Elephas maximus indicus: one gene and its partner. The protein of the gene in region 2 binds, or shares a complex with, the protein of the main gene of each other region. Links are inferred from orthologs where the notes say so. Each region holds a gene or a part of one and is shown on either strand. Other genes may lie near its edges.

Region 1 (14,274 bases), on a different chromosome or scaffold from region 2:
ATAACTACTATAGTGAGAATTTAATTCAAACTGACGTTAATAAAGGTTAATTTTACTGTACAAACCAAAAAACCCAAACCCATTGCCATTGAATCAATTCTGACTCATAGCGATCCTATAGGACAAGGTAGAACCGCCCCACAGAGTTTCCAAGGCTGTAACCTTTACAGAAGCTTACTGGCACATCTTTCTCCCACGGAGCGGCTGGTGGGTTCAAACCGCTGACCTTTTGGTTAGCAGCTGAGCGCTTAACCACTACGCCACCAGGGCTCCTTATCCTACTGCTTGGCGGGGATGAATCCAGGTCTTGCGGGGCCTTAAGCTTATGTAATTTTGTAAATTTGGAATCATTTAAAAGAAATCACAATTATGAATACAAAATGCTCGCAGGTCCTCTGAAAAGGCCCATATGTGTGAGAGGGTCCGTACATGTGGCCATGTGGTTATTCCGAAGGAATGAATTGAAAGAAGGCATCTATTCACCTGGTTCTGTAACTTTATCCTACCACAAGAGGGCAGTATGGTTTCAAACGTGGCAAGCTGCTATCTTCAATGGGATTCATGTGCTTCTGAGTTTGGAGACTCTCAGAATGTTCGCATCCACCTTTCAACTGCAGCCCTTGCTTTGTAACTCCTTGAGTCTCTGTGATTTTTCTTCTGTCAAGACAACCTGAGTTCTCTCCCCCAAAACTTGGCAGTATAGCAACCTACGGCAAGTTCAAGGTACATCACCAAACTGTAAGGCAACATGGTTTGCCCCTTAAACTTTCTCATCAACTTTTTCCCCTTCTGTTTTATGGTACTTTCATATTGCGTTTATTATAAAGGACAAAGAAAGGGTCGCACATAACTTCTCCCACAGCGATTTTAATGAGCTTCTGGCTTTTCTAGCGGTTTCATCCATAGCTGGCTTTATCTACATGGATCTTCTGGCCACACAGGAACCCCACACCTCCATCCCCATATTCGACAGCATTGTCAAAAACTAACACTTGTTTCACATAGTGATTGAGGGCACACATGCATAGCACAAAGTAAAGCGGTGCGCTGGCAAGGAACCCATTTGTTTGACGCAAATGGCCAGAGACCCTTTCCGCCTTTTTCCCATCACCAAAATCAGTTTGGGTTTTGATGCCATTAACAGACACCATTTAGGTATTGACAGCTTTGTAACTGGAGTTCTGGTTTTAACACAAACACTCAGGGCTTGTGTGTCAATATCACTCTCCGGTGAGGTTCAGAGCCGGCTTGTGTATGTGGGCTGTCTTTTGAGAATTGCCCTCAGTATGTAAATAGGGTTTCCTGTTTGTTTAAAAGCTTGATTATATTTACCACACTTCAGAGCCGTCTTGTAAACGTTATCAAACATGGCATTTTCCAAGGACATAGTAAAGAGTCCATAAAGGAAAAAAGTTTCCAAGTTGAACATTTCTCACTGGGTCAGAAAGTTGAAAATATGTCAGTAAAGAGAATACTGTTCCATTGGAAAACCAACATGCTAACAAGTGAGTGAGCTCTCTCCCCTTCCTACGTATGTGGTAAAGATTATACAAACTTCCCTCAAAATTTTACTTGAGAGCTGAGAATGTCAAGCTTATGGCTGGCTTACGGCATAACCTACCATATAGGTCAGGTGCAGGCTACCTACTGGTACCTTAGTTAGCAAACAGCAATTCTCTGATGAATAAAACTGCTGGAGACGTGCAGACTTTACAAGACCTCTGAATATAAAATCAACATTAGAGCCATAGCAGGGTTCCTTACTTCATACCTAATCTTAAAATTTCAATCCACACTCAGAATAACTCTGAAAAGATGTTGCAAAAGATCACTACTAAGATACTGTTCTTAGGAGCTTCTTATATAAGCTCAGTCAAGGAAATAGTTCCTTTCCATTCGTTAAGATAGTTCCATTCCATTCGTTAAGAAAAAAAAAGTTAAAAAAATTTAAACCACTAAAGATTCCTATTAGGAAAAGTAAAGAGAACAAACATCTTAACAGGATGCAGAAAACAAGTCCTCCCTCCCACCCCACCGTGACTGATGCCTCCGTCATTAGCGGGGTAGCTGCCCATTTCTTATCTTGATTGACAGGTTAATACGGAACCTGGGGCTATCTTTTCAGTATGAACACACAACCTCACCAATTACTTTTAAATTATTGCTAATCTGTCAGAAAATAACAAGCATAAGGAATAAAAATATCTGAAAAATAGAGATATCTCCTGAAGCAGCTTTTGCTTCCGGCGCTTTAAAAGACTAGGTTCAGAAAACTTGCCAGAATTGAGTCAATAGAATTTAGGCATTGAGGATTTTTTTTTTTTAAAGAAAAACTTGTAGTTTATAATAGTTCATTGGTTCAATTAGGAGCGAAAAAGAAGGGAGTTTTGTAATGCAATTGTCCAGCAAAGGAAAACGCTTTAAATGGGGGGATTATGTGAGCAGACCACCTGTAGGGCACTCACAGTCCTTTTCTATAAAGCTTCAACCCATGTCTAGCTGCCTGCAGGCTGGCTAACAATGCCGGCAAAAGCTGTTTAAAAGGCTGAGCGCACTTGGGCTTCTGGTCTTCACTAACTGTTACAAGTCTTCCTCTCCTGCTCCCTCTCCCTCGTTCTCTCTCCTTTTAAAAGTCCCACATCCCTTTAATTGAAGAACTTTAAGGCTCCATGGTGGCCAATTGGTCTGCAACAAGAGGAACCAGGCAGCAGGGAAAGAAACTGCAGACTATACGTCACATTTGGAGAGGAGAAAAGATCAAAGTTTTTCCAACTCAAAAGACCAAGTTCCCTACAGATTAACCCTATTCATTTAGCTCCTCTTAGAGGAATGATGGGCTGAGCCACTGGACAGACAGGTAAAAAGTTCAACAATTGCCAAAGCATTCTTCTGCTAATTCAACAGCCTTCTGCTCAAATAAATTAGCTTAGTCTTGACAGAGGAACAATAGCTTTTTCTGTGGAAAAAGCAGCCCATTTGATATACACAAGCCTGGACGGTTATTAAGATGTTAACCCGTTAGTTTAATCCATTAAAGAGCCTGCTCCTTCACCAGGTTGTCAAGTGACTTACACTGTAAAGTGTGATTTATGGGTTTAAAATGTTAACCTTCACACTTGGGCAGCGTGTTCAGTTCCTGAATAACCAGGTGCTTTGCAAATCATGGACGCGAGAAATCAGTGTGGGGTTTTGAAGCCTTTAGTGAGAGTACACAGGATAAATAACAAGGCACAAGTGGAATTAGTGCCTTGCCAAAGTTCCATTTACACAGACTACGATGAGAGCTGTTATCCACGGATCAAAAAAGTTACCACTAGAAACACCATCTTTTTTTGGGAGGTGCAAAAACTCAGTTTTGATTTCAGTTCAACAATGATATTTACTTTGCTAACAACTTAAGAATTAGCAGTTAACAGGTAATTTTCTCCATGCCTAGGGTCAGCGTACAGAGTGATAATCCAGAAAATGTCCATTTCTCCGATGTGTTCTTAGCAAGCACGTCAAAGCTAACAGCTTAGAAGAGGCAGGGGGAGAGGGCCAAGGTTAAATCATTTATCAAAAGTCTTTTTATTGACAAAATAGAATACTTATATTTGTTCTTACAGGGGTAGCCTCTAAACTTTTTACAAAAAAAATGTACAGACTGTATATCTTTGGATATGTACATATTTTACACTTTTTTTTTTTTTTTTACAATTTAACAAATAATTATATAAATACATCCTTTAATGTAAGAAACCCGTATTTACTTGGGGTGTATAGTTAAGACATTTCTCGTTTGTTTATTTAAGGCATTTGCCTGGTCATTAAGAATACCCAAACCCTGCAATCCCGTTAGGTCGTGGTCTTCCCGCCTCTAGGACATGTTAAGAGTTTATGTGGGCGAGTCAAGGGAGAAAGATCTGTCCCTCAGGTCAAATCTGTTGATGTTGCTTCAAGCTCAGCAAAGGGCAACCAGTGAGTTCTCCAAACCTAGGGTTTTGGAAACGCAGCAGAGGCCACCCTCCAGTGCCAACAGACATTAACGCCTGGCGCTAGGAGCTCCTTGCATATCAATGCCGGAAAGGGGGCTGGGTCTGGGCGGCTTCAATGCCAGGTACTTTGTTCTACGCAAGTCATTTAAGTCCCAGCTAATGGATACCATTAAGAGTTCATTATCATGCTAATAGCAATCAACACGGTGAAGGGGTGGGAACCTCTGATCATCAAGAGTCCCTCTGTACTAGGTCTCCTCGACCCTCCTTCCTCCCCACCCCCCTCCCCTCCGCTCAGACCTGGGACAATGGCATCTGCTTGGGGTAAGACACGGAGCTGGCCGTGCCAGACCTCCACGTCAGGCCGGTGCTGACGTCGCTGTAGAGGGAGCCCCCGCCGCCGCCCGGTCCCCCGCCCCCGCCGGGCCCCGCACCGCCCCCGCCCACCCCGCTGACTCCCCCCACGGCCGCGGAGCCCGCGCTCCCGCCCGCCGCGGCGCCCTTGCTGGCCCAGCAGCAGCGGGTGCACAGGGCGCGCCAGGACTCGAGCGTCTTGCCAGACCAGACCCACACGCCCGAGGTGATGCCCACCACGAGGCACATGAAGTACTTCAGCATGAACACGGCGTAGTCAGGCCGACGGGCCTGGTCGGGCTGCAGGTCCCGCAGGCACGGGCAGTTGTGCGTAGCCTCCCAGCGCGGGCGGTTGTGCTGCTCGTAGAAGAGGCAGGCGACCACGACGGCGGCGGGCACGGTGTAGAGCACGGTGAAGAGGCCCAGGCGGATCATGAGCTTCTCCAGCTTGTGCGTCTTGGTGGGCCCGCCCTGCTGCTTGATGACCGAGCGGATGCGGAAGAGCGACACGAAGCCCGCCAGCAGAAACATGGTGCCGATGAAGAGGTAGATGACCAGCGGTGCCAGCACGAAGCCGCGCAGGTTGTCGAGGCTCTGGTTGCCCACGTAGCAGATGCCCGCCACCGGGTCCCCGTCCACCGAGCTGAGCGCCAGCACGGCGATGGACTTGACGCTGGGCACGAGCCACGCGGCCAGGTGGAAGTACTGCGAGTAGCCGGCGATGGCCTCGTTGCCCCACTTCATGCCGGCCGCCAGGAACCACGTGAGCGACAGGATCACCCACCAGATGGAGCTGGCCATGCCGAAGAAGTAGACCAGCAGGAAGACGACAGTACACAGGGCCGGGCCCGTGGTCTCGTAGCGCACGTGCTGCTCCACGGCGCCCAGTTCCTCGTACTCGCCGCGCCCGCCCGGGCCGCCCGCGCCCGCTCCCGCTGCGCCCGCGCCCGCCGCCGCCGCCGCACCGCCCGCAGGTCCCGCGCCGCCAGGGCCGGGCGCGCCGCCGCTGCACGCCACCTTCTCGTGGCCTGCCACTAGGCGCACCAGGTAGCCTACCGACACGAAGAGGTAGCAGGCCGAGAGGAAGATGATGGGCCGCTCCGGGTACTTGAAACGCTCCATGTCAATGAGGAAGGTGGAGACGGTGGCGAAGGTGGACACGAAGCAGAGCACGGACCACAGGCCGATCCAGAAGACGGTGAAGGCTCGCTCGTCCTGGCTGAAGAACGGGTTGTGACAGGGCAGCGCGCAGTTGGCGATCTGGCCCGTCTTGACGCGGTTGTACAGTGGATGCCGCTCACTGGACACGCTCACCATGGGAGCGCGGCACTGGCAGCCCGGCTCGCAGGGCGCCGAGCCGCCACCAGGGGGCCGCGCCTTCCCGCCGCCGCCGCCGCGCGCGGGGGGCGCCGCCGTGTCCCCCCCGCCGCCGCCGCCGCTCTTGCCGCCGCGGTGAGGGGGCCTGGCCCCCGACGAGCGGCTGTGGCCGCTGCCCGTGGGCGGCTGCTCGCCGGGCAGCGGCGGCGGCGGGTGGCGGCGCGGCGGGCTGGGCGCGGCCGTGGTGAGGTCGGTGCGGTTGTAGTCCATGCATAGCGTGTCGGGGTTGCCCTGCTCCGGCAGCCGGTCGCAGCGCATGCGGTCGGGCCAGGCGAAGCCGTACTGGCGCATGAGCGGCGCGCAGCCGGCCTTGGCGCGCTCGCACACCGAGCGGCAGGGCGGCAGCGGCTTTTTGTAGTCTTCCAGGCAGATGGGCGTGTACATGCTGCACAGGAAGAACTTGAGGTCGGGCGAGCACTGGATCTCTACCAGTGGCCAGAACTGGTGCACCTCCAGGCCCGCCTCGTCCTGCGTGTCGTGGTTGAACTGGTTGGGCATGTAGGTATAGTTGTAGCCGATGCCCTTGCACAGGGGCACCGTGATCTCCTGGCACGCCAGCTCTTTGGCCGAGGCGGCCGCCGCGCCGCTCGAGCGCTGCAACAGCGCGAAGGCGGCCAGCAGCGAGGTCACTTCCAACAGGTAACTCCACTCCATGCTGGGCGCCTCAGCCCCGCACGCCGCCGCCGTGTCCTCGCCCCTCCACGAGGCGCGCGTCCCGGGGCCCGGGCCTGGAGGCGCGGGGAGGGGCGCCGGGAAACCAGAGAGGAGAGGAAGAAACCCGGGTACCCGGGGCCTCTCTGTCCTGCCGGCCTCCCTCTCCTGGGGAGGGGAGTCTGCGGAAAGCCGAGCCCCTTCTCAGGGGCAGAGTTCCAGCAGCGCGGTCCGGAAGGCTGGGCAGGAATCCGTCCAAACCTCCCTTCCGCCGCTTGACCGGCCACTCCGGGGAGCCGGGCAGAAAGCGCAGTGCCGCGCTCCCTCCTCCTCGGATCGCACAGCGGTTCCGGGGAAATTAGGGGGTGGGCTGCAGGCTAGCACGACAGACCCCCTCGGGTCTTTCGCCTGCTTATTTTGGTCCGATTTCAGCTCGCGCGGAGGAGAGTTGCTGGCCTCAGGCTCATCTTCCTGCACTTGCGTTTTCCCTCTCCCTCCGCGCCGCGGCCACTTTTCCGCCGCGACTCCCGGGCTGGCGGCGACTTTGCTGAGCACAGAAGGTGGCGGAGCAGCAAGTTTCCTCTCCAACCCCCGTGATGCAGTCAAGATGGCTGAGCCAGGCGCACTCCTCGAGTCCGGGGTCAACCTCTCCAGCCCGCTCTGTCCCCGAGGGGGTACATTCCTGCTCCCACAGCCGCCGCCGGCTCCCCGAGTTTGGAGGAGAACTCCCCTCCGCCGAGGCCGCTGCCTCTTAGCCCCGGGGTCCGTCAGTCCGTCCGCCAGCCGGGACAGACAAATCCCGCCTCCGGGTAAAAGTCCGCGCCGTGCTACGGCAAGTAATCGAGCGAGTTGCAGGCAGTTTTCTCCTTGCTAAAACAAAAAACAAAAATCCAGACCAAAAGGCAACGCGAAAACACCTGAGCTGATCGGTGTCTGGCTGGAGCCGCCGGCGCCACCACCTCCTCGGCGGGAGCAGCGCCCTTTGCCCAACTTCCCAGTCTCCAGCCCCAGCTCGAGCAGAGCTGCCGGACTCATGAATATTTATACGGAGCGGACTCAGTCTCCGCCCCTGGAAGGGGCAGCCAATCATCGGGCGACGGGGCGGAGTCTACGCGCTCCCAAGACTCAACCTTCCTTAAGGCCGTCCGCAGTGTCTGGCCGTAAATTTGCGCTTTCTGGTGATGGAGATTCGGTATTGATAACCTTGGGATTGACCGCAGAAACGGAGAGTCAGCGCAGCCTCCCCGGGAGCGCACGAATCCCCTCGCTGCTCCTGGCTTGAAGTTTGTCATGCTTGCCCCTAGGCACTCCTGAGGTCTTGGTCCCATTTTCCTGAATCTGCACCTGGGGGACTGGGACGTGATTATAGGCAGCGCGCGTCTCCCCAGACCGATTTCAGATCAGTAAAGCCCCTCAATCCACTTTACTTCCCCGAATGTGGGGTGGCTGGCCGGCAGCAGGGGTTCCGCGCCCCTTGGTGAGCCGGGGGAGGAGCGGAGCCCTCTGCAGGTGGGTGTGAGAAGGCTGGGTGGGCGGGGCTAGCCCCTATTGAGTGCACTCTGGGGGATCCGGAAAGGGGTGCCCTCTTTAGGGTTCTCAGAAGTTGGTCTTTGAGGCTTGGAAACGTGGGGAGAGTCAGCAAGTCAGTGTATTCTGAATGGTGGAGCTGGATTAGGTGAGGGCCGTGACCCCAGCTGCAGTGGTCTGCCGGCCAGAGGCAGCCGCAGAGCAGGGGCGCAGGGTCTGGCACAGGTGGTGGTAGGGGTTCGCCTGCCACCTTCCCGCTGGGTGACCTTGGGGAAGGTATTTATCATCTCTGAACTTGTTTCCTTCCCTGCAAAATGGGGGTGATCGCGGTCCAGATCTCAAAAGGGATAATTAGGTGACATAAAATATATAAAGCATCCAGGACACAGTTCTTCCTTACGAGAACGAATTCTCCTTTAAGAAAAAAAAAAAAAAAGCTTATAAATAGGAGAGGCTGAAAACTCTGCCGCTGGATCCTATATTTTCCTCTTGTACTTCTGGAGCGTATATACATCTCTCCAAAGTTCACCTGTTTTCGCCAAAGCCTCCTTTTCTACGGTCTGATACAGCCCTGGCGCCTTCGAGGCGGGGCTGCGCCCCTGGCGCCGACACGTAACCTTGGTCTTCCAGAGCAGGGGCGGGGCCAGAGCTTCTTTCAGCTGCCGCTTGTGACGCTGCCAATTAGCGCTGCCCCAGCCACTCCACCAACCACCTTAAGAATCGGGTGGTGGGGGGGCGGAGGGGCAGGCGGCCTGGCAGGTTCATTTACGCTTGTTAGGACGTCCCAGGGGGTTGTCTTTCTCCTAGAATGGAGTGTTTATTTTTTAATTGATGTGCTGTTTCATTTAGCGCTTGTATGGAACTCACGCTGGGGCTGTAATTACTGTAATCTCAGGAACAAGCATTTCGGTTAGCCAGGAGGGTGGCAAAATACAGTCTCTCTCTCTCTTTTTGTTTCTAAATTTTTTCTATTTGTCAGGTTTCATATCTGGAGCAAGTAGGGCAAGGGGACAAAAGTTGTTGAGGGTGGGAGGACAAAGACGAATTCAAGGTGCATTTGAGACCAATTCAGATTTTGGGGTGGGTTGTGGTTTTTTGTGGTTATCTGTTTAAAACCAACTTTTGTCACAAAACAAACAGAAAAACTAGCAGTTTTTGTATATTGCTTGAGCTAATGGAGTCTCTCTTCTTCCTTCTGTTTCTGTAGCTTGGTTTAGCAGCCTCACTACGCACCACATTCTAAGGAGACAGGCAGAAACACCTCCTACCTTCCCGCCTCCCCCCGCCCCCCCGCGTTTTGGCAAGTTCTGCGTTTTCGCCGAGAATTCTAGGTATATTCACCAGGATGTACCTGTATTCCACCATCTTTTAAAAATTGAAGTCTGGTTAGAATCTCTTGATACTGAAAAACAACACTTCCTTCCCACTTTTGTTTTGGAAAAACCAAACTCCTTAAAAAGAAATTCAACAGCTTCAGATATATTAGCTGATTCAGTAGAAGAAAATAGAGTCTATTAAAAAATGCAAAGACGACACCTTTACTTGGTCTTTCCATGGCTTCACCCCCCATCCCCCACCCCCGCCTCTGACTCTCTATCTCCATTCGTGGTATGTTGAATTCAAAAAGTCACCTAACCCCTATCCTGCTACGTTGTTCAAAGTCAGCCATTCTGCAGAACATTCAGCTCCTGGGAACAGGTAACTCCCAGAGTCAAAATTCTGCTCTGAGGTGCAGTGGTGAACGCAAAGCACCCTTTTAACGACCGGCCTGGAGGCTGCAGATGGGAGGGGCCAGTTTCCAAAAGCAACAGAGGTGTTAAAAAGTTTCTACTGCTTTTCTTCAGCCTGGAAATGCCAAATAGTGAGGTCTAGAATGACGCTATATAAATTTACTAGAATTAGGTAAAAACAAATTTTGACATTTGAAAATTGAGGCTGAAAGTTGATTTTGGATCTTAACTGGCATTTAATTTTTTTTTTCTGGCTTTTTTATTTTGAGACAAGATGAAAGCTTAGATGATGTGGAATGTGGAAATTTTTGGTAAGTATGTTAAGCTTGCAGGAAAAAAATTAAGTAGACAGAAGTTCAGGGTTTTAAAAATTCATGCTATAAGCTATTTAGGGAAACTTACTGATTTGTGAGATTAAAATCATTCACATAAAAATCGCGAAATGTTTACTTTTAATTCAGAGAACATAAAAATAGCATTTAGAGTTACTATTAAATTACTGCTTACCCATTTTCCAGAGCAGAAGAGCGAGACTTAAGAAGCCAATTAGTGTATAAAAGACAGTAATGGGTCAGTTAACAAATCAGTCATTTTTGACCTTCTGGGTTAATGTTGTTTTTTTTTTTTTCTTTTGTATGTAAAGCAGCTTTTTTTTTTTTTTTTTTTTGGAGAGTTACATAAATAACGTAGGAAAGTTTCTAGAGGGGTTTCTGAACAGATGTCTTGTTACTAAATAGCCTATAAGCATTATACAGGCAGTTGAAGGCCAGAATCTGCCACAGAGCAGGGTAATGTTTTACATGATATTCGATACCAAGTTAGATAGGAGATTATCAGTATACTATATTTCTCAAATTTAAGAAACAGGAAATTGTTTTTTAGTGGATTATAGTTTAAAAATCCAATATAAAAATTCCTATGCAAGTGAGGGTCTAACATACAACAATAAAATGGCAATGATTAAGTGGAGAATTCTTCAGTAACTAGTGAAATTTCTCTGGTGTTACATAAAATACCAAAGTTTTCTCCTAAAAGCATTTTTCCTTTCAGGGAAACAATCAAACACTACATTGTTCGGGAATATAAAACTCTATAATATTGGGGTTTCATGGCATTTTAATTTTTTGGTTTTTAAGAATTGAGTCTTGAGTCTCACTCCACAGATGGAAGGGAAGTTAGAGATCAACTGGTCTTACTCTAATCTCTACTAGATTTAAAATGGGTGAGATAATTTATATATTATTCTATATGGACATTAAAATTTATGAAAGGTCTTCTACTTTTAACTATTTTCTTTGCAACCAGGAAAAGAATCCAATCGGAAAGGAGTACTCTGTCATTGTGTCTGCTGTTACAAGGCCAAGTTGCCAATGGATGAAGATAACTGAGGACAATATACGCCATTGGTTAGGAATCTTTACACGCAGAAGTCATTTTAGAAAATGGTAACGGCACTGGCTGTCATTACTTAACGTTATAATTATTGTAAACTATATTTTAAAGGAGTCCCTGGGAGGTACAATTGGTTAATGTGTTTAGCAGCTAGCTGAAGGCTTGGCAGTTCCAGTCCACTTGGAAAGCTTTGGAAGAAAGGCCTAGAGATCTACTTCCAGAACACCAGCCACTGAAAACCCTGTGGAGAGCAGTTCTACTCGGACATTCATGCGGTTTCTATGAGACCGAATCTACACAAAGGCAACTGGTACTGGTTATGTTTTAAAAATCAACCATTTATCTCTTTTATTCTTTTTTTTTTTTTTCCAGTTCACGTTGGATTACTGGCAGTGGTTAAGAGCTTGGCTGCTAACCAAAAGGTTGGCAGTTCGAATCCACCATCCATTCCTTGGACACCCCATGGGCAGTTCTACTCTGTCCTATAGGGTCACTATGAGTCAGCACCGACTCAGCGGCAATGGGTTACTGGCACCACTGGGAGCTTTTAGGTGCAGTAAAACACCGGTCGCCTTTGAGCTGATTCTGACTCAGGGTGACCCCACGTGTGTCAGAGTGGAACTGTGCTCCACAGGGTTTTCACTGGCTGATTTTTCAGAAGTGAATCCCCAGGCCTTTCTTCCAACATGCCTCCGGGTAGACTTGAACCTCCGACCATTTGGTTAGCAGCCAAACGCATTACACGATTACACCACCGAGGGACCCTCAGGTGCAATAAAGACCTCCAAAGTAAAACTGGCTTATCCAAGAAGGACATTTAATTAATCTCAAATAATAAGAAATCTAGAACCAGGAAGTCCCACCGTTGGTTTATTTTGTGACTCAGTGGTGTTAGGCTTTCAGGCTGCTGTCTTGGTGAGTCTTGGCTCTCCTTTTGGTTACACACAGCCTCCACCACCAAATCATCACATTTCACAGAACGGCAATCAAGGCAGGAAGGGAGACAGGACTGACCCCCGTGCTGCTCTCCTCCTGTTGGAAAGAGAACATTTCCCAGCAGACCCGAGCTAACGTCCCCTATGGCGCCTTGGTCTGCTGCAAAGGAGGCTGCGAGAGTGAGATCCCAGTGTCTGGGGGGCAGTCGGTGAGAAGAAAGCGGAGGAGGAGGGCAACGTTGCTGAGCAGGTGATCAGCAACGTCAACGATACGTTACTATTCTGAAAGAAACGAACTCTTCAGTAATATCATTTAGGCAGCAAGCTTAGTCTTCCAGTGTATTTTGTCCACGGTTAATTATGAGTTATGTATGTTCTAGACCCAAAGAGGAAACCCTGGGTGGTAGGAGTGGTTGGTTAATGCACTCAGCTGCTAACTTCGAGTTTGGAGGTTCACGTCCACCCAGCGGTGCCTCCGAAGAAAGGCCTGGTGAGCTACTTCTGAAAAATCATCTACTGAAAACCTTCTGGAACAGTCCTACTCTGACGCACAAGGGGTCCCCACGGGTCAGGGTAGACTCCACGGCGACACGGTGGAGCAAAGAAACCCGGACATATACACTTCTGTTTTCTTCCTTATTAAGCTCACACACTCCAGTTCTCTGTGCAGTTAGTGAGCAATAAATGTCAAACAGTTTACTACTTGTTTTATTTTTAATGTATAAATATACATTTGTTAGTATAACTCTTTGTTCTTTTTTGATAAGCTTTTTCATGCTTCTTTTGGAGGCTTCACTAAAAACACTGGTACAGTTTTGGAGATTTTTGTTGTTGTTACGTCCTATACCAGGTAATTTTTTTTTCTGTCGATAAAATTAGGTATAATGCAAGGGAAACTGTTTAATTCCATCTCTAAACTGCTTTAAAAATTTTTTTAAAACTGCTTATGGATATGAAATAACCTTTGTATTTAAAAAATGTTGATCTAGGGAAGACTTTATAGCTGGTAGCAATGATCCATTTTAAATGGTGGTCGGAAATAATAAACTTTACATTGATAGCACCCATAGTAATTATTAGGATTAAGGGCTTGGAGGTGGTAGAGACTACAATGGCATTTCTTTCTATTTTGTGTTTATCTTTGATAAGTTTATGTTAAATGGATGTCATTTTTTTTTTTTCTAGAGGTGATAACACTTGATTTTTTTTTTTTTTCTGGTCTGAGTCTTGCTTGCTCTTAGAAGCAAATGTGCTTGTATAGGGTTGACCTGATAGCTTACTCTATTATAAGTATAATTTATAGTATAACAATACTTAAAAAGGCTAAAATAAGGAAATACTGTTGTATCAATGGTTGCTGAGTTTTTGAAATAGTATCTCAACATATATTTACAATGTGAAACTTTTTTAACTTACAAAGGCATACAAAATCTCAATCCGTGTGTAAATTTTCTCCGTGAACTCCCTGCAAGCTTTCTCAAAACACATTCTGGTGCGGCACAGTGTGAAAACCCTTGTCTATAAGACGTTCACAGTATGTTGTTAATTGAAAAACAGCAGATTATAGAGCTATATGGTTTAGGCCCAAATATACTGATAGATAAGCATAGAAGGAGTCCTGATGGCACAGTGGTTAAGAGCTACAGCTGCTAACCAAAAGGTCGGCAGTTCGAATTCAGCAGGTGCTCCTTGGAAACCACCCAGGGCAGTTCTACTCTGTCCTCTGAGGTCACTAGGAGTCAGAGTGGACTCGATGACAGCAGGTTTGGTGTTTCTTGGTTTTGATGCATAGAAAGAAGATGGGAAGGAAATTCATCAAAATATTACCTCTAGTTGTACCTGTGTGGAATAAGTAGTGGCAATTTTTCTTTTCTTTTGCTTTTTTTTTTTTTCTTTATAATGATTTAACATTTATCCTTAGAAAAAATTATCCTGAAACAACCCTGGACTTAGCTAGCACCTATTATGTATCATTTTGTGCTGTTCTTAATTTTTTCAGTATTGTTTTTTCTTTCTTTTTTCGTTATATAGATAAAATCACCAAAGGACAGGTATGTGCTAAATATATATATATATATATATATATATATATATATATATATATATATATATATATATACTGAAAGCAAAAGAAGCAACTTTATTTAGCTGGTCAAGGAAAGGAGCACAATGGGACTCGGGTCACCAAGGGGTCTCCCAGAACAGTAGCACAAGGGGTTTATATGGATAAAGTAAATCGGGTCTGGGGTCCCCAGGGCATAGACACGGGTGTGTTTTTCAGCCTCTAGCATCAGTAAGTCATCTGAGGGGCAAGGTGGTCAGTACTGTGCAGTT
Region 2 (15,313 bases):
AGCAAGGACTCTATTGGGCAATTCTGCACAAATCTCACCTCTAAAGTGCTCCGCGCATGAACAAGAGGCACAGTGTGAGGACCAGCTCCATCACCACCGCGGCAGACGGCTCTGCGTGCACAGCCGGACACCAGCTTGCTCATCGGAGCCCACTTTTGATATCCAGTCCGTTGTTGACGCCTGCTGCATTCTGTTGTTTTCTGTCCCTGGGATCAAGAGATCCAAGGCTAGAACCTGGGGGGTTGACTCTAAAGTTTATCACCAAAGAGTAAATGCGCAAGAAGAGCCAACACATTTTTTTTGGAGAACAATGAGGGGGGAGTTTGCACAAGTGTTCTCAAAACATACTATAGCGCCATGGGGATGTAAACAATCAGCTGCCTTCACTTGTTGCTGCTGCTGTCATGTCAGTCCCCGAGTCAAGGCAACCCCATGAATGTCAAAGCAGAAACGCCCCATAGGGTTTCCTTGGCGGAAGCAGATTACCAGGTCTTTCTTCTGCAGAGCAGCTAGGCAGGTTCAAAAGAAACCCACCAATCAGTGGAGCAGAACAGAGAGTCCCAAATCAGGAGCCACACATCTGTGGCCACTGCTCGTGAAAAGGGGCATTTTAAATGAATAGGGGCTCAGACGGGCAGCTCTTTGTGGGTATTGGGACAACTCCTTATCCACTGGCCAGAGGGCGAGGGAATTGGTTCGGATCCCTGCCTCATACCCTATATGCAAAAGAAATGCAGCCATCGTGATGTCTGAACATAAAACACAAGACAGTAACACTCCTGGAAGAAAATAAAAGAGAATGTACTTATAATCTCAGTGTAGGAGAAAAGGGTGTGAAACCCGTAAGTCATAATGGAAAAGACCATCAGTTGTGACTACATGAGCATTTTTAATGTCTTTATGATACTGTACCATCACCCGAAAAAGGAGAAAGGACTCGCTATAGATGAGAAGGAGCCCTGGTGGCACAGTGGTTAAGAGCTTTGGCTGTTAACCAAAAGGTCAGCAGTTCAAATCCACCAGCCGTTCCTTGGGAACCCTATGGGGTGGTTCTACTCTGTCCTACAGGGTCACTGTGAGTCAGAATCGACTAGATGGCAATGGGTATGGTTTTGGTACAGATCAGAAAGAAAAGGTAGAACATACTTAACGATACATGTTATAATATAGAAGCACCACCTCCAAGAAATTTGGAGGACAGCCACCTGGTCAACCAACTGGAAGAGATCCATATTTATGCCTATTCCCAAGAAAGGTGATCCAACTGAATGCAGAAATTATCGGACAATATCATTAATATCACACGCAAGCAAAATTCTGCTGAAGATCATTCAAAAGCGGCTGCAGCAGTATATCGACAGGGAACTGGCAGAAATTCAGGCCGGTTTCAGAAGAGCACGTGGAACCAGGGATATCATTGCTGACGTCATATGGATCCTGGCTGAAAGCAGAGAATACCAGAAGGATGTTTACCTGTGTTTTATTGACTATGCAAAGGCATTCGACTGTGTGAATCATAACAAACTATGCATAACACTGCTAAGAATGGGAATTCCAGAACACTTAATTGTGCTCATGAGGAACCTGTACATAGATCAAGAGGCAGTTGTTCAGACAGAACAAGGCGATACTGATTGGTTTAAAGTCAGGAAAGGTGTACGTCAGGGCTGTATTCTTTCACCACACCTATTCAATCTGTATGCTGAGCAAATAATCCAAGAAGCTGAACTTTATGAAGAAGAATGGGGCATCAGGATTGGAGGAAGACTCATTAACAACCTGCGTTATGCAGATGACACAACCTTGCTTCCTGAAAGTGAAGAGGACTTGAAGCACTTACTAATGAAGATCAAAGACCACAGCCTTCAGGATGGATTGCACTCCAACATAAAGAAAACAAAAATCCTCACAACTGGACCAATGAGCAACATCATGATAAACGGAGAAAAGACTGAAGTTGTCAAGGATTTCAGAACTGGGCAGTGTTTCGTTCTGTGGTATACAGGGTCGCTATGAGTCAGAAGCGATTCGATGGCACCTAAGAACAATGACCCCCAAGAACACACTCATCCCCCACCATTCCTGGTGGTCCAGGTGCCTCAGGCCTCCAGTGAGATGAAAACATAAGCCTCATGCTAGAGAAGGCCTCAGAGATCAGGACCCACTGGCTTCACTTTGCACACGAGGAAGCTGGGGCACACAGAGGGGCAATGAAGAGCTGGACATCTCCTCCCCAGGGCTCCAAGCCCAGGGCATGCCAAGTAGTGTGTGTGCCGCCCTCCCTGTGCGTTCTCCAGGGAGAGGGATCCTCCGGCAGATCCCCAAATGGGTGCCTCACACCCCAAAAAGGCTAAAAGCAAACCACTCTCCTCACTGAGGAGTCCCTCAGTGGTGCAAAGGGTTAACACGCTGGGCTGCTAAATGAAAGATTGAGGTTTGAGTCCACCCAGGAGCACCTTGGAAGAAAGGCCTGGCTATCTACGTCCAAAAAATCAGCCCCTGAGAAGCCTATGGAGAGCACCTCTGCCCTGACACACATAGGGCTGACAGGAGTCAGAGCCGACTTGAGGACAACTGGTCTGGCTTTTTCCCTTTTATTGCGTGCTTGTCGGGCCCTATCCCGCACTAAAGACTTTATGCATTATTTTATCAAATGCCCAGTGAAGCTAACAGACAGAAACCATTGTTGATCTCATTTTGTATATGAAGTCAAGGACCAGTTGGTTAGGTAACTGCTATATCAGATTTGAAGCCTGAACCCAGGCTTGTTGGATTCCAGTGCTCAGGGCCATAAAGATACTGTGGCCGGATGGGGGATGTTTCCTGAACTCTGAGCAGGAGATAAGGGGAGGGTATTAGGAGGCCCTGGTGGTCCAAATGGTTAAACACTGGACTGCTAGCCAAAAAGCTGGACGTTTGAATCCACACAGAGGGACCTCAGAAGAAAGGCCTGGCAATCTACTTCTGAAAAATCAGCTGCTGAAAACGCTATGCAGCGCAATTCTGCTATGACAACACACACGGGGACGCCGTGAGTCGGGGTCAACGCGACGGTAACTGGTTGATCCCCACTGCACAAATCTTTGCTTCAGTTTAACCGTTAGAAAAATTACCTCAAGGCAAATGGGAAGTTGTTGTTGGGTGCCGTGAATTCCAACTCATAGCAACGCTATAGGGCAGAGTAGAATTGCCCCATAGGGTTTCCTAGGCCGCACTCCACCAGAGCAGATCGCCAGGTCTTTTCTCCCTTGGAGCAGCTGGTGGGTTTGAACTGCGGACCTTTAGGTTAGCAGCCAAGCGCTTAACCATTGCACCACCAGGGCTCCTTAAAAGGAAAGTAGACGCTCAAAAAGTGTTCACTGAGTTAAACATCAACCAACAAAGCAAAGGAAAAAAACAGACAGTACAGTATACCCCCCACCTCTCCAAAAGGGCTCATAGGGAACTTTACCATGACAACCTCCCAGGGGGTCTTGCAGGCAGGGACTGCTTGTGCGAACTGTCATCAGCGAGCACGTGGCCTTGTCCGCACACCCCTCTGCGCAGCTTAAGGGTTCTGGGCTGCCAGCCACCCCACAAGGGCAAATCTGTGCCAATCACAGACCCAAAGCACCTAAGCCCCCTCCCACACAGGAGTCCGGGGACTTCCAAACCCAGGCATTCCGTCAGGAAGGGCATTTTTAAAAGGAAAGCTGGCCACCTAGGGCAGGACCTCTTGGCTTTTCCCACAATGACCCCACTGAACCCGAACAGGCGCCCTGCTAGGTGAACACCACCATCCCCACTTTACAGATGAGGAAACTGAGGCTGGGAGTAAGTAAACAGGCTCCAGAGCTGAAGAGAGAGCAGAGACCAGGTTCCAGCCAGCTGGTGGGGCCCTGGGCGGTGGGGGCGGGGGTCCCTCTTTGTAGGATCCCTAGCTACCTCTGTACACCAGCGCTGGCAACACACTACCCCCAGAGGGGGTCTGCTGAGGAGTGGACATGCCACGGAGCAGACATGCCACAAAGCACACACAGCATGGAGCAGACACATCACAGAGCAGACACGCCACGAAAGCAGACATGCCGTTGCTTTCTGAGCAAATGGGCAAACAGACCCATAAGGCGAAGGAGCTGGACACACAGGCTCCACTGTGAGAGCGTGTGAAGGAGTCGTCCACAAGACCTCGCAGACCACAGATGTCCCGCTGCTGTCAGGGGTTCTGTAACAGTGAAACGCACCGACTCACCCTGCCCCTCCTCCTGGGAGGCCAGCCCTGGCCTTCTAGCGGGCCCCTGTCTCACTTCCCCTCTCGGTCGCTGCCATGTTGCTGAGCTGCCCAGGGAGAATCCAACACCAAGTTCAACTGCATCACAGCCCAGCTTAACACGGATCCCATGCCCAGCTCCTAGGATGTTTTGGCTCCCAGCTTATACTTGCTGGGAGAAATAGCCAACCAAGATGGATCCAAACCCTTCACCTTGACACACCTGACTCCAGCCTGCATTCCCAAACTCTGACTAAAGTTTTCTGGGGCTTCGATCACATCTGGCCCACATCCAGTCCTTGGTGCCCCCTGGGCCTGCCCCTCTCCTAGCTAAAGTGAGCTCTAGCTGACTCTACGCTGGTAGCCCAGACAGCAGGGCCCAGGCCTTCATCGCCATCATGACCCAGCCTATCCCCACCACTTGGCACAATACCAGGCATCAAAGAGTAACAGCAACGAGAACAGCTAACACAGAGCCAGGCATGTGTTAACTCACTGACTTGGTGGTTGGAAGACTTGTTATCTCCATTTTACAGAAGAGAAAACCGAGGCACGGAAAAGTGAAGTGGCAGGGCAGGGATCAGACTGGAGGCACTCAGCTCCATCTGCACTGTCAACCACCCCACTCCAATCACGCGGTGTTGTGGTGGCCCTGTATCATTTAGGGAATAAACGAGTCCATCAGCGGACTAGAAAGCTAAGGTCGTGGGCAGAATGGAAATCCAGACTGCAGAATAGCAGCTTCTAGACCTTGCAGGCCAGGAAGATCAAGGACCCTAGTACACAACAGTCCCTCGCCTGGGCCTGGGGGGCTGCTAAGGGCTTCCACCCCCCATTTAAACCTCCCAGCGCCTGGGAAAGGAGCGGACCAGATAAAGACGTCAGACATAGACAAGCTAAGTAAGGCGCCCAAAGTCAGTCGGCTACTGAGCAGCAGCCTGGGCCCACGAACCCGTTTGTCCGACCTCAAAGTCCAGCGGCTCCGCAGCTCCAGGGCAGAAATCGATGCTGAGTCCTCCCTTGCGTACCCCACCCCCCCGCCCCCCCACCCCGCCCCCGCCGAGTGCAAATCCGGCTACATGCCTGAGCAGTGACAGGGAATTAAACAGCTTCCACATGTGACAGGGACCAGGGTGAGTCTCGACTGAGAGGAGGTGAATAAGTGTGGTGCCCAGGGGCTGGCCGGATACCTTCCTGGATTTGATCAGAACGGTGGAACCCATATGGCCTGGCTCTGAAAAACAGAGGGTCCTCTGGAGGAGACCCTCTCAGTGGGCTCCACACAGCATTGAATTTACCCAACCAACGCTGGCTGGGCCTGCCAGGAGTGTGCCTTGAACCCGCCCTCCATCAGGGAGCATGCCCACCTGCAGAAACCCCCTGGGGCAGGGGGAAGGAACCTGGCCAGGCAGGTGGGGCCAGAGGAGGAGACGGGGCGTCTGAGGCGGTAACGCCCCTCCCCGCACCAGGGCCCCCAGAACAAAGGCACCTACATGGGCTCACAGCTTCGAATTGCAGCAGGAAGCAATCAGGAAAAACAATTAGCTACTGGCTTGCTGGCTTTACTTGAGACCCAGGCAGAGGTCTGAGGTGACAGCCCAGAGGCAGGGCATATCACGAACAGCCAAAGCGGTTCTACAGAAAATACCCCTCCTTCTCATTTCTTTCCATTTCAGGGTTGTATCTCCACACGCGCCGGGGCTCCTGGGCTTCCTAAACCCCTCCGGACAAGCCTCCTGATGTTAAAACCATCAACCCTATTTTTGCTTCACATAGGACTCAGCTCCACAGATGGTGATTCTTTCCTTGGGGGGCTCAAATCGCCCAGGCGACAGGCATTCATACTCCACAACAGGACCCCAAAAGGTACAGGAAATCCCGAACTGCCAGGAGGTGAGACGCAAGAGCGATGCCTTAGAAGCCCCACCTTTAAAACAAACATCTTCCCAAAAACCCCTTTTGCCTGCATGATCCAGGCATTTCCGGCAAGAAAAGGCGCCGGGATGGCCTGCGCAACGCAGATACCTCATTGTTTTGTCTTCACCTTGGTTTACTAGCTCCAGACCGGGCCAGGAAATGTAAACACTCTCCTGAGAGAGGCAAATTTGGGGGGAAATGGCCCACAGAACCTCTAGGAAGGCTTGAGAAAAGGGGCCCCAAGCTTTCTGCGCTTCTGAATGACACAGACTCAGTGGTGGGGCCCAGGCTGGGAATGCCACCGGCAAAGCCAGGCCGGGACCCTCCCTGCAAATGTCCACACTGGAGATATTCCGGGACAGCTGTGTGCCTGACGGAGGCCCAGACAAAGGGACCCGGGCTCCCCCACACTCTGCAACTGCCCCCACCAGGAGGGGGGAACCCAGCGCCACAGGACAGGCTGGCCCGTCCACTTGGTCAGCCACACTCCAGAAAAACAAAACACGCACGTCTGAAGAGAATGATTTAGGTAGGGAGCCTTGCTTCAAAAACCACATGGCAATCTCCAAATTAAAAGAACATGCGTGGCATTTCACAACGCTTAGGTTTCCCGAGTCCTCCTGACCTCAACTCCACCCCTCGGGACACACTGAAAGTCGGGGAGAAAGTTCCCCAACTCTCGATCCCGCCAAAGGTGTGCACACCGAGAAACACGCACGTTCCTCTGATGGGACCGACCCGACACCCGGCTCGGCTGGCCCACGCCGCCAGCCCCCGGGGGGGGGACATCGGTCAGCTGGGCCGGGCGCCACCGTTTGGGGCCCACCGGCCGGCCGGACGGACACCTGGCAGGTGGCAGCCCGCTTGGAAACACAGCAACGTCAAAGGGGGCAGCGCAACAGGCCAGGACTCCCCGCGCCGGTCGCAGAACTTTCTCGCTGCAGCCCCAGTGGGACTCGCAGGCCGGCGGCGCGGCCATGGGCAAGAGGCTCGCCAGAGAGTTCCCGCTCCAGGGCGGCGAGGCCTGTCCCCCGCCGACAGGCTCCCTGCGCGCGGCCCCGCACGCCGAGCCGGGCGCCGGGCAGGTGAGGACGCGCCCGCCGCACCTGGCGGGGTGGCCCGGGACGGGGACGGCGCCCCGGGAAGGGCCCGGCGGGCGAGACAAAGGCCGGCGCGCGGCCCGGCGGCGGGGAGCGGGGACCGCCGCGCGCCCCAACTCGCCCCAACTTGCAAAGTGGCTCCGAGGCGGCGGCGCGCGCTCGGCCGCGGCCCGCCCTCCCCGGCGCACGGCCATTGTCCCCCTGTGTCCCCCGGCCGGCGCCCCCTACCCGCGGCGGGGCGCAGGCTGCAGCACAGCGCCAGGAGCAGCAGCAGCGGCGGCGGCGGGGGCCGGGGCGGCCGGGGCGGCGCCGCCTCCATGTTGTCCGGCGGCCGGACGCGCCCGCGCCGCTCACTCGGGCCCCATGGCGAGGCGGCTCCTCCGGCTCCGGCGCTCCCGCCTCCCTCGGCGCCGCTGGCGGGACGCGGGGGGCAGGGACCCAGCAGGGCGCGGGCGGAAGCGCGCCGCGTCCCCGCCCCCCGCCGGCCGCGCCCCCGGAGCCCGCCCCCCGGAGCCCGCCCGCGCCCCGCCTGCCCCCCGCCCGGGCCCAGCCAAAGCCACCCCGGCTCCGCGCTGGGCTCGGCCGGTGGTTTCACCCCAAGCAAGTTCCGGTAGCAGGTGTGTCACCTGTAGAGCTAAAAGGACCCCGCCTCTTACAGATGGGGAAACTGAGGCACAGGGGTGGGGGAGATTGCTCCAAGGGCACACCGCGAGGCAGCGGTAGGCTGGAAGCCAGGGGCCCCAAGCCGGGTCTGTGCACCTTCCCTGGGCGGCCACCGCCCCTGAGCGACAGCCACCCCCAGGTCCCAACGGGGCGACCAGTTCTCACTTCTGCGGTTACCAGGGAGGGCAGAGGGGGGCGACCGCGAGTCGGGCAGGGACAGAGCGGTTGATGGAGAGGGGCTGCAGCTGGCTGGGCTGGGGCTGGGGGTGGGCTTCAGGTTTAATTTTGGACTTAGTTTGTGCCCTCGGCTTTGATTAGGGTACAGGGAGACTGAGCAATGGCCCCATTCCTTCTTCTCCACGTGCTTGGAGGCTGGCGGAGCCAGAAAGCCTGGTCTGAGAGTTCCAACCTCAGGGGGTCCCACACCTTCAATTCCTTCAACAAGCAGGCGCTGGGCTCACGGTATGGTGCCCCACTCTGCGCTAGGCCCAAGCATCAGGCTCAGGACTGAGAGGGGCTGGGAAGGGGACGCTCTAGAATGGGCAGGGAGTGAGGGGAGGGGCGGCAGAAGAGGGCTCTGGATCCCGTGGTCCAAGTTCAAATCCAACTCTGCTGCTTTCTGGAATCGTGAGTGCCCTTGGTCAGGTGTGTATATTACCTCTCTGAGTACTATTTCCTCCTCCCTTGCACAGTGTTGGAGCCCTGTTGGGGCAGTGGTTAAGAGCTCAGCTGCTAACCAAAAGGTCGACAGTTAAAATCCACCAGCCGCTCCTATGGGGCAGTTCTACTCTGTCCTATAGAGTCCCTTTGAGTCAGGATCGACTGGATGACAACGGGTTTGGTTTTTTTCGTGTTTGCAGAGTGTTGAGAGGACTAGTGATAACACAGAGACACTACCCATTACTCATGAAAGCATGTGGTCTTCCATATTACAAAGCCAGAGTCCAGGCAGGAGGCCTCCGCCCTCCTGAGGCTTATAACTTAGCAAGGAGCACAGCCAAAAAAAAGGCAAATGAGTTTAAGATCACCACAAGGGGCTGTGAGGAGCTCCATGAAAAATGGAGGCTGTTGGGCTACAATGATGGGGACCTACTGATTCAGGGAGGTGGGCAGACTTCCTGGAGGAGGGGATGTTTGAGCTACCTCCTGGGTGATAAGAGGGGCAGCCTGCTGGGAAGGGGGAGGAGTTCAGGTAGATAAATCATGGCGGGGAGGGGAAGGCCTGAGGGCAGGGTCTGCCTCTGCCTGCTGGACTTGTGTGTAGAGGCTGGGGGTGGAGGTGGAAGGGGAAGATCAGATTGGGAAAAGGGGTTGAGAGTTTATCCCAAGAATGATAGGAAACATTTGTAGGGATTTAAGCAGCAAAAGGAGTCCCCGGGGTGCAAATGGCTAAAGTGCTTGGCTGCTAACCAAAAAGTTACAGGTTCAAGTCCACCCAGAGGCACCTTGCAAGCAAGCCCTGGCAATCTGCTGTCAAAAAATCAACCATTGAAAACCCTACGGAGCACACAGTTCTGCTGTAACATGCATGGGGTGGCCATGAGTTGAAATTGGCTTAAAGTCAGCTGGTTTGGTTTTTCTAAGCGGTGCTCCATCCCGGCAGTACATCCTGTTGGCTCCACTTTCCAAAACGGATCTAGAACCCCACCTCTTCTCACACCCCCACTGCTGCTACCCTGAACCAAGTCGCCTTTCACCCCCTGACAGGTCTCCTACTTCTGGACTTGCCCCCTTTCAGCCAAATCTCACAGCAGCCAGAGTGAGCAAGTTACATCCCTCAGGTCATGTCCTTCCTCCGCTCAAGAAGGCTCCCATCTCTGTCAGAAGAGAAGCCCAAGGACTATGGCACCCCAGGGCCTGCTCTGGTCCCCCTCCCTGTTTACTTCTCATACCTAGCTACACACTCCCCTCCCCCCCTCACCCTGCTGCTTGCCAATGGCCTCCCCACTGGCCTCAAATACACTCCTGCCTCAGGACTTTTTCACTTGCCGTTCTGTCTGCCTGAAACTCTCTCCTCAGTTAGCCTCATGGCTCGCTCCCTCACCTCCTTCATTCAGCTCCCCATGAAGGCCTTCCCTGAACCCCGTCAAAAATTCAAACTACACACACACTACCCACCCTTGCCAGCACTTTCTACACCATTCCTCTTTTATTCTTCTCCTTTTTTGTTGGTTTTGTCCCCTGCTGTATCCTCTGTGCCTAGACCAGAGCCTGGCACACAGTCCCCATTGCTGTCGAGCCAATTCCAACTCATAGCGACCCTACAGGACAGAGTAGAACCACCTCATAGGGTTTTCAAGGAGCAGCTGGTGGATTCAAACTGCCGGCCTTTTGGCTAGCAGCCGTAGCTCGTAACCACTGCGCTACCAGGGCTCCTGGCTAGAGGTGCTCAGGAAATGTTTGTTCAGTGAATGAATAAAAAGATCTGATATGTGTTCACGAAAGAGTCACTGTGGCTGCTGGGCAGGGGCAGCACTGTGGGAAGGCAAGAGGGGAAGCCAGGGTAGGGGGCTGGTCAGCAGATAGGCACGAGGGCTGCAACCAGGGAAGATAGCAGCTTGGACTCGGTAGGGGTGGCGGAAGGGGCTCATAGGTGGCGAGAAGGGACTGGATTCAGGATACCTTTAAGAAGAGCAGGAGGACTCACTAAAGGCATTGGCTGTGGGGACAAGGGACAGGGAGCTCAGGATCGCTTGCCATAGCGACTCTGCTAAAAAACCCATTGCTGTCGAGTCAATGCCAACTCATGGCGACCCCCTGTGCGTCTGAGCAGAACTGTGCTGCACAGGGTTTTCAATGGCTGACTTTATCCTCACGGAGGGAGATGCAAAACTTGAGTCTCTGATAGGGAGATTTCTGTATATGCAGAAAAATCCATTCATGTCAGGGGACAACGGGGGCTGGGAGTGGCTCCTAGGGCACCCTGGGGCCTCCAGAACCCAATCTTGGGGTGCCAACTGTGAAGACACCACCAGAGGCCTGGAGAGGGAAGAGCCTGTGCCCTGGGTCTCAAAGCCCATCAGAACGAGATCCCAGGTGGCCTGACTTGGATCAGAACTCTGAGAAAAGTCGCTTGCAAAGGGAGAAACGAGGCTGACCATGATTTTATTCTGTGGAGTTATGACACCATCACAGGGCTGGTCATTTTTAGACCCTTTGGTAATATAACAAGCACCTGGAAAACGTGCTAAGCTTCCACTTCCCCCAGAGGTTGCCTGTCACAGCTCACACCACCTCCAGACTTTCCTCAGGCCTCCTGTTTGGAAATCTTCACCATCATTTCATTCCTTAGATTTTAGCTCCTCCGTCACAGTGGAGGGGGCGGGGAGGGGTCGGCACCTGTCCGATCTAATCATATCTGGGGACAGGAGCTCCATTAGGGTCCACTTAAGGCCCATCAGGGATGAAGTCTCAGTCCCATAACATGGGTGGGAAGGACATTTTGGTTTCCCTCCCAGGCTGGAACATGCTGACTCTGGAGAGTTATTCTGGGCACCAGGGCCCCTCCCGCCCAGCAGGCCTGCAGGGAGTGACCCGAGATCTGACCGCTGTGGTCAGAGGGGTGCCCTGGGCTCCGGAGCACCCCGGGCCCTTCCGAGCCAGGAGCATCCTTCCCAAGGAGGCTTGGTGGAGACACACACACAACCCTGGCCTCTCTCTCCTGCAGTGGACGCCATCTCCCAGCAACCTGCACCAGGAGCAGGTAAGGGAAGGCCACCGTCTGTCCACAGCAGTGGACGCTGGGCGGCTTATTTGGTGGCAGGTCACAGTTTCTGTGGGTGCAGGGGACGCAGGCTGGGCTTCACCTCTCCAAGCCTCAGTTTCCTCATTCATAAAAAGGGGGTGATGACATCTGCTCAACTTCTTATCTCTCAGTGCTGATGTGAACCCAAAGTGTGATAAAGTTGAAAACACACTCCTCATGCTTTCAAGTGCTGCTTTAGTGTAAATTTGTGGTAACATGAGCCCAGCACCTGCACAGAAGTCGCCCCACTTCCCCCTCTTCTCCCATGGTGGTCATCCATCCCTTACATTTCTCTCTCCGAGGGAGGGGAGGACACAGAGAGCAGCATCCAGGCTGAGAGAAGGAGGAGTACAGATGACTCAGCCTTTGGCCTGAGCTCCTGGAAGGCCAGGACGGCCATTCGCCAAGATTAGATGTGTTAAGTGGATGAAAAGAGAGACCAGGGGAGGGAAGGTGGTGGGGCATAGTGGGGGTGGGATATGAATCCCACCTTGACCTTGTTTGGATTCTATGGGACCTCTCGGTGGAGGAGTGGTGTGGGCAGGGTCTGGGGACCAGGGAAGAGGGCTGCGCGGGGAAATTTAGGAATGCCCAGTGTATGACAGCATGTAAGGCCATGCGCCCGGAGGAGCAAACATGAAGAAAGAGGTTCAGGCTCTGAGCCCTGGGACCTCAGACGCACAGGGTGCAGGGAGGTGAGGAGAACCATGAGGGCAAGGGGGGGCAAAGTGAGGGAAGATGGGGGGACAGAGTAAGATGAGGCTGGAGACCTGTCCGTTGGACCTACCGAGGGGCAGGTCCTCAGTGACTTTGACCCACTAAAGATCACACGTACCTGGCTTTTACTGAGGCCCAGGCACTTAGCTGAACGCCCAGGACTCCACAGGGCTAAGGAAGGAAATAGCTTCAGCCTCTCCCTGTACTTTAGACCCTTAAACCGGGCCCGCGCTTTCCTCCCCCCGCCGGGTGAATACCTGGCCAGGTGCCCTAACCTCTGTGGCCCTCTCAGGTGTGGTGACATCCTTGGGTCACGTCTAGTCCTAACATTCTCAGCACAGGATCAAAATTCTCAAGTTTATTCGAAGTCACAACTTCTCCCTCTGCAGTGGGGGTAGGGACAGCCCCACCTGGGCTCTGTCTCTGCATCCCGCCCCACCTACCCCTCCAGCCTGGCTGCACCTGGGGAGAGGAAGGACTGTCACCAGTGACCAGGCACTGGGACCCTTGTGGGTTTTGGCAGATTCCAACTGTTGATTCATTCTCTCAGGAGCTCTTTATGGGCACGTTGGATGTTTCTCGGGACTGAGCCTGATCCCTGGGAAACACGAGCCTTTGCCCACACTCCCGGACGGGCAGCTCAGCCCAGGGTAGTCACCTGTCCTTCTCCACTGCCGACCAGGCAGCTGCAGCCTGACCTTGGCCTTTGCTTTATCAGGCATGGAGCAAACCAGACACATGCGTTGTCCCCCAGCCCCTCACCCCAGCTCCAGGGGACATGCTGTCGAGCCTCGTTATTAGGCAGGGATCCCGTATTCTCCATCTTGTCTAGTCGATAAAATCCTGGCGGGGCGGGGGGGGGCTTTAAGGTCATTCAAAGGTCTGCACATGAGCAACGTGGCCTGTATACTGTATTTGCAGGGACTTTATAGCCCATCTCAAGGAGCCCTGTTGGCGCAGTGGTTAAGCGCTCGGCTGCTGTCCCAAAGGTCAGCAGTTGGACCCACCAGCTGCTCCGTGGGAGAAAGATGTGACAGTCTGCTTCTGTGGAGATTTACAGCCTTGGAAACCCTACGGGGCAATTCTACTCTGTCCTATAGGGTCGTTGTGAGTGGGAATTGACTCCATAGCAACAGGTTTGGGTCTTTTGGGGTTTTTAGAGCCCATAACAACAGTGAATAACGAGACTTGATTATAAGTCCACAAGGTCTTTTGCTGTCTGTCTCCTGCCAGGTTTGAGATGAAGGGAAAGTACTCCTAAGGCTGGCTCTCTTTCTCATGCCTCCCACTCCTCTTTTATACTTTCAAGGGAAGTGGTGGGCTAATTATTAGGGTGACCCACAATCATATTTGCCCAGAACTGAGGGGGTTCCTGGGACTTTTATTATTAAAACTGGGAAAGTCCCCGGCAACCTGGGATGAGTTGGCCACCTCAGGGCTGGGGAAGGAAGCAGGCTCCCTCTGCAGGCTCCTCACCAGCCTTCCAGGCACTCAGACTCCAGGGCGACAGTAGGAACGGAGACCCACGTGTATACCATTGAAGAGTTATACATCAAGCCACCAAGCAGTTGAACAGCTGCTTCATCTGTCCTCCGGCCCGACCTTCCTACCTTCACAACACCTGATGACCAAGCCCCTCAGAACTCTCAGACAGGCTGGGCATGGCAGGGGAGAGGACCCGGCCCTGGACCACCCAGACCCAGTGCCCCGAAGACTGTCCATGGGGGAGGTGCCCACACAGCCTGGACGTGGGCTCTGTGCTGCTTGGGGGCTTGAGGCCCTAGGTCCTATCCAGGAGGGGGGTTTGCGCCTCAGGGAAGCACATCTCCTTGGCCCTGAGGGGGTGGGAAGGCTGGAGGGGCAAGACAGCATTTATTAACTTCAAGCCAAATGGAAGCCTCAAGGCCCATCCTGACACCCCCAAGTATTCCAAACCACCCACAGCTCAGAACAGGAGTGAGAAAACAGTCAGCAGCTAGCAGCAGCCAAGCCAGGACTCGCACTCAGATCTCTGGCTCCATGCAGCCCTTCTTCTTCCAGGCTCACGCTCTCTCTCGCACTGACTCACTCCCCTCCCCCAGGTCCTCTTCCCTGCAGGGACTCCTCGTGCGGGCCTGGGAAGCTCAGCCACTCCCCCTCCTCCAGCTCCACCCCCCCCCGCCCCAGTAAGCAGGAGCAAGCTTCCCCTTTTCAAAAACAAACATCTTCCCTCCCCTGCATTCTCTCTCCCCTCTGTCCGTGAGTGGGGGCTTCTCTAACCACCATCTGTACTCGCTGCCTCCTGCCCTCACCTGTGCCCTGTGACCCCGCCCGCCCTTGCAGTGCTGCCTCCTGCCCTCACCTGTGCCTGGTGACGCCACCCGCCCCTGCAGCAGCATTCCCATTGCTCTCTCCAAAGGCCGTTGCTTCTAGGCTCTGCAGTCTCCACCACCCACACCTCCCCTCTGACTGTCCCTCCTCTCCCAGCCTCACCCCTCCTGCTCACAAGCTCTCCCTGCTCCAGGCACTGCCTCCCAAGTGTCCCCCTTTCTCCATCCCCACCACCAGGTTCAGCCCCCCAGGCTCTGCCAACTGTAGTCTGTGCCTCCACAAGAAAACCAAACCGTAGCCGTCGAGTCAATTCCAACTGATAGCCACCCTGTAGGACAGAGTAGACCTGCCTCTTAGGGTTTCTAAGGAGCAGCTGGTGGCTTCAAACTGCTGACCTTTTGGTTAGCAGGCGAGCTCGTAACCAGTGTGCCGTCAGGACTCCTTGCAGTTATTGTTGTTGTTGTTAGGTGCTGTTGAGCTGGTGTCGACTCACAGTGACCCCATGCGCGACAGAACAAAACACTGCCCGGCCCTGCGCCGTCCTCACGGTCTGCGCTACGCTTGAGCCCGTTGTTGCAGCCACTGTGTCAGTCCATCTCATTGGGGTTCCTC

What was found.
Region 1: LRP5 (region 2) and FZD8 share a complex: the UniProt entries of both Homo sapiens proteins name them as parts of the wnt-signaling complex. The link is inferred for Elephas maximus indicus from reciprocal best matches to the Homo sapiens genes LRP5 and FZD8.

The regions. Positions count from the first base shown.
Region 1 is NC_064822.1:9,845,221-9,859,494, forward strand, and holds FZD8 (frizzled-8), read right to left. Parts: upstream 6,363-14,274; 5' UTR 6,360-6,362; coding exon 4,269-6,359; 3' UTR 2,004-4,268; downstream 1-2,003. UniProt on the Homo sapiens protein: Receptor for Wnt proteins. Component of the Wnt-Fzd-LRP5-LRP6 complex that triggers beta-catenin signaling through inducing aggregation of receptor-ligand complexes into ribosome-sized signalosomes.
Region 2 is NC_064825.1:131,044,231-131,059,543, reverse strand, and holds the start of LRP5 (low-density lipoprotein receptor-related protein 5), read right to left. Parts: upstream 7,665-15,313; 5' UTR 7,586-7,664; coding exon 7,495-7,585; intron 1-7,494. UniProt on the Homo sapiens protein: Acts as a coreceptor with members of the frizzled family of seven-transmembrane spanning receptors to transduce signal by Wnt proteins.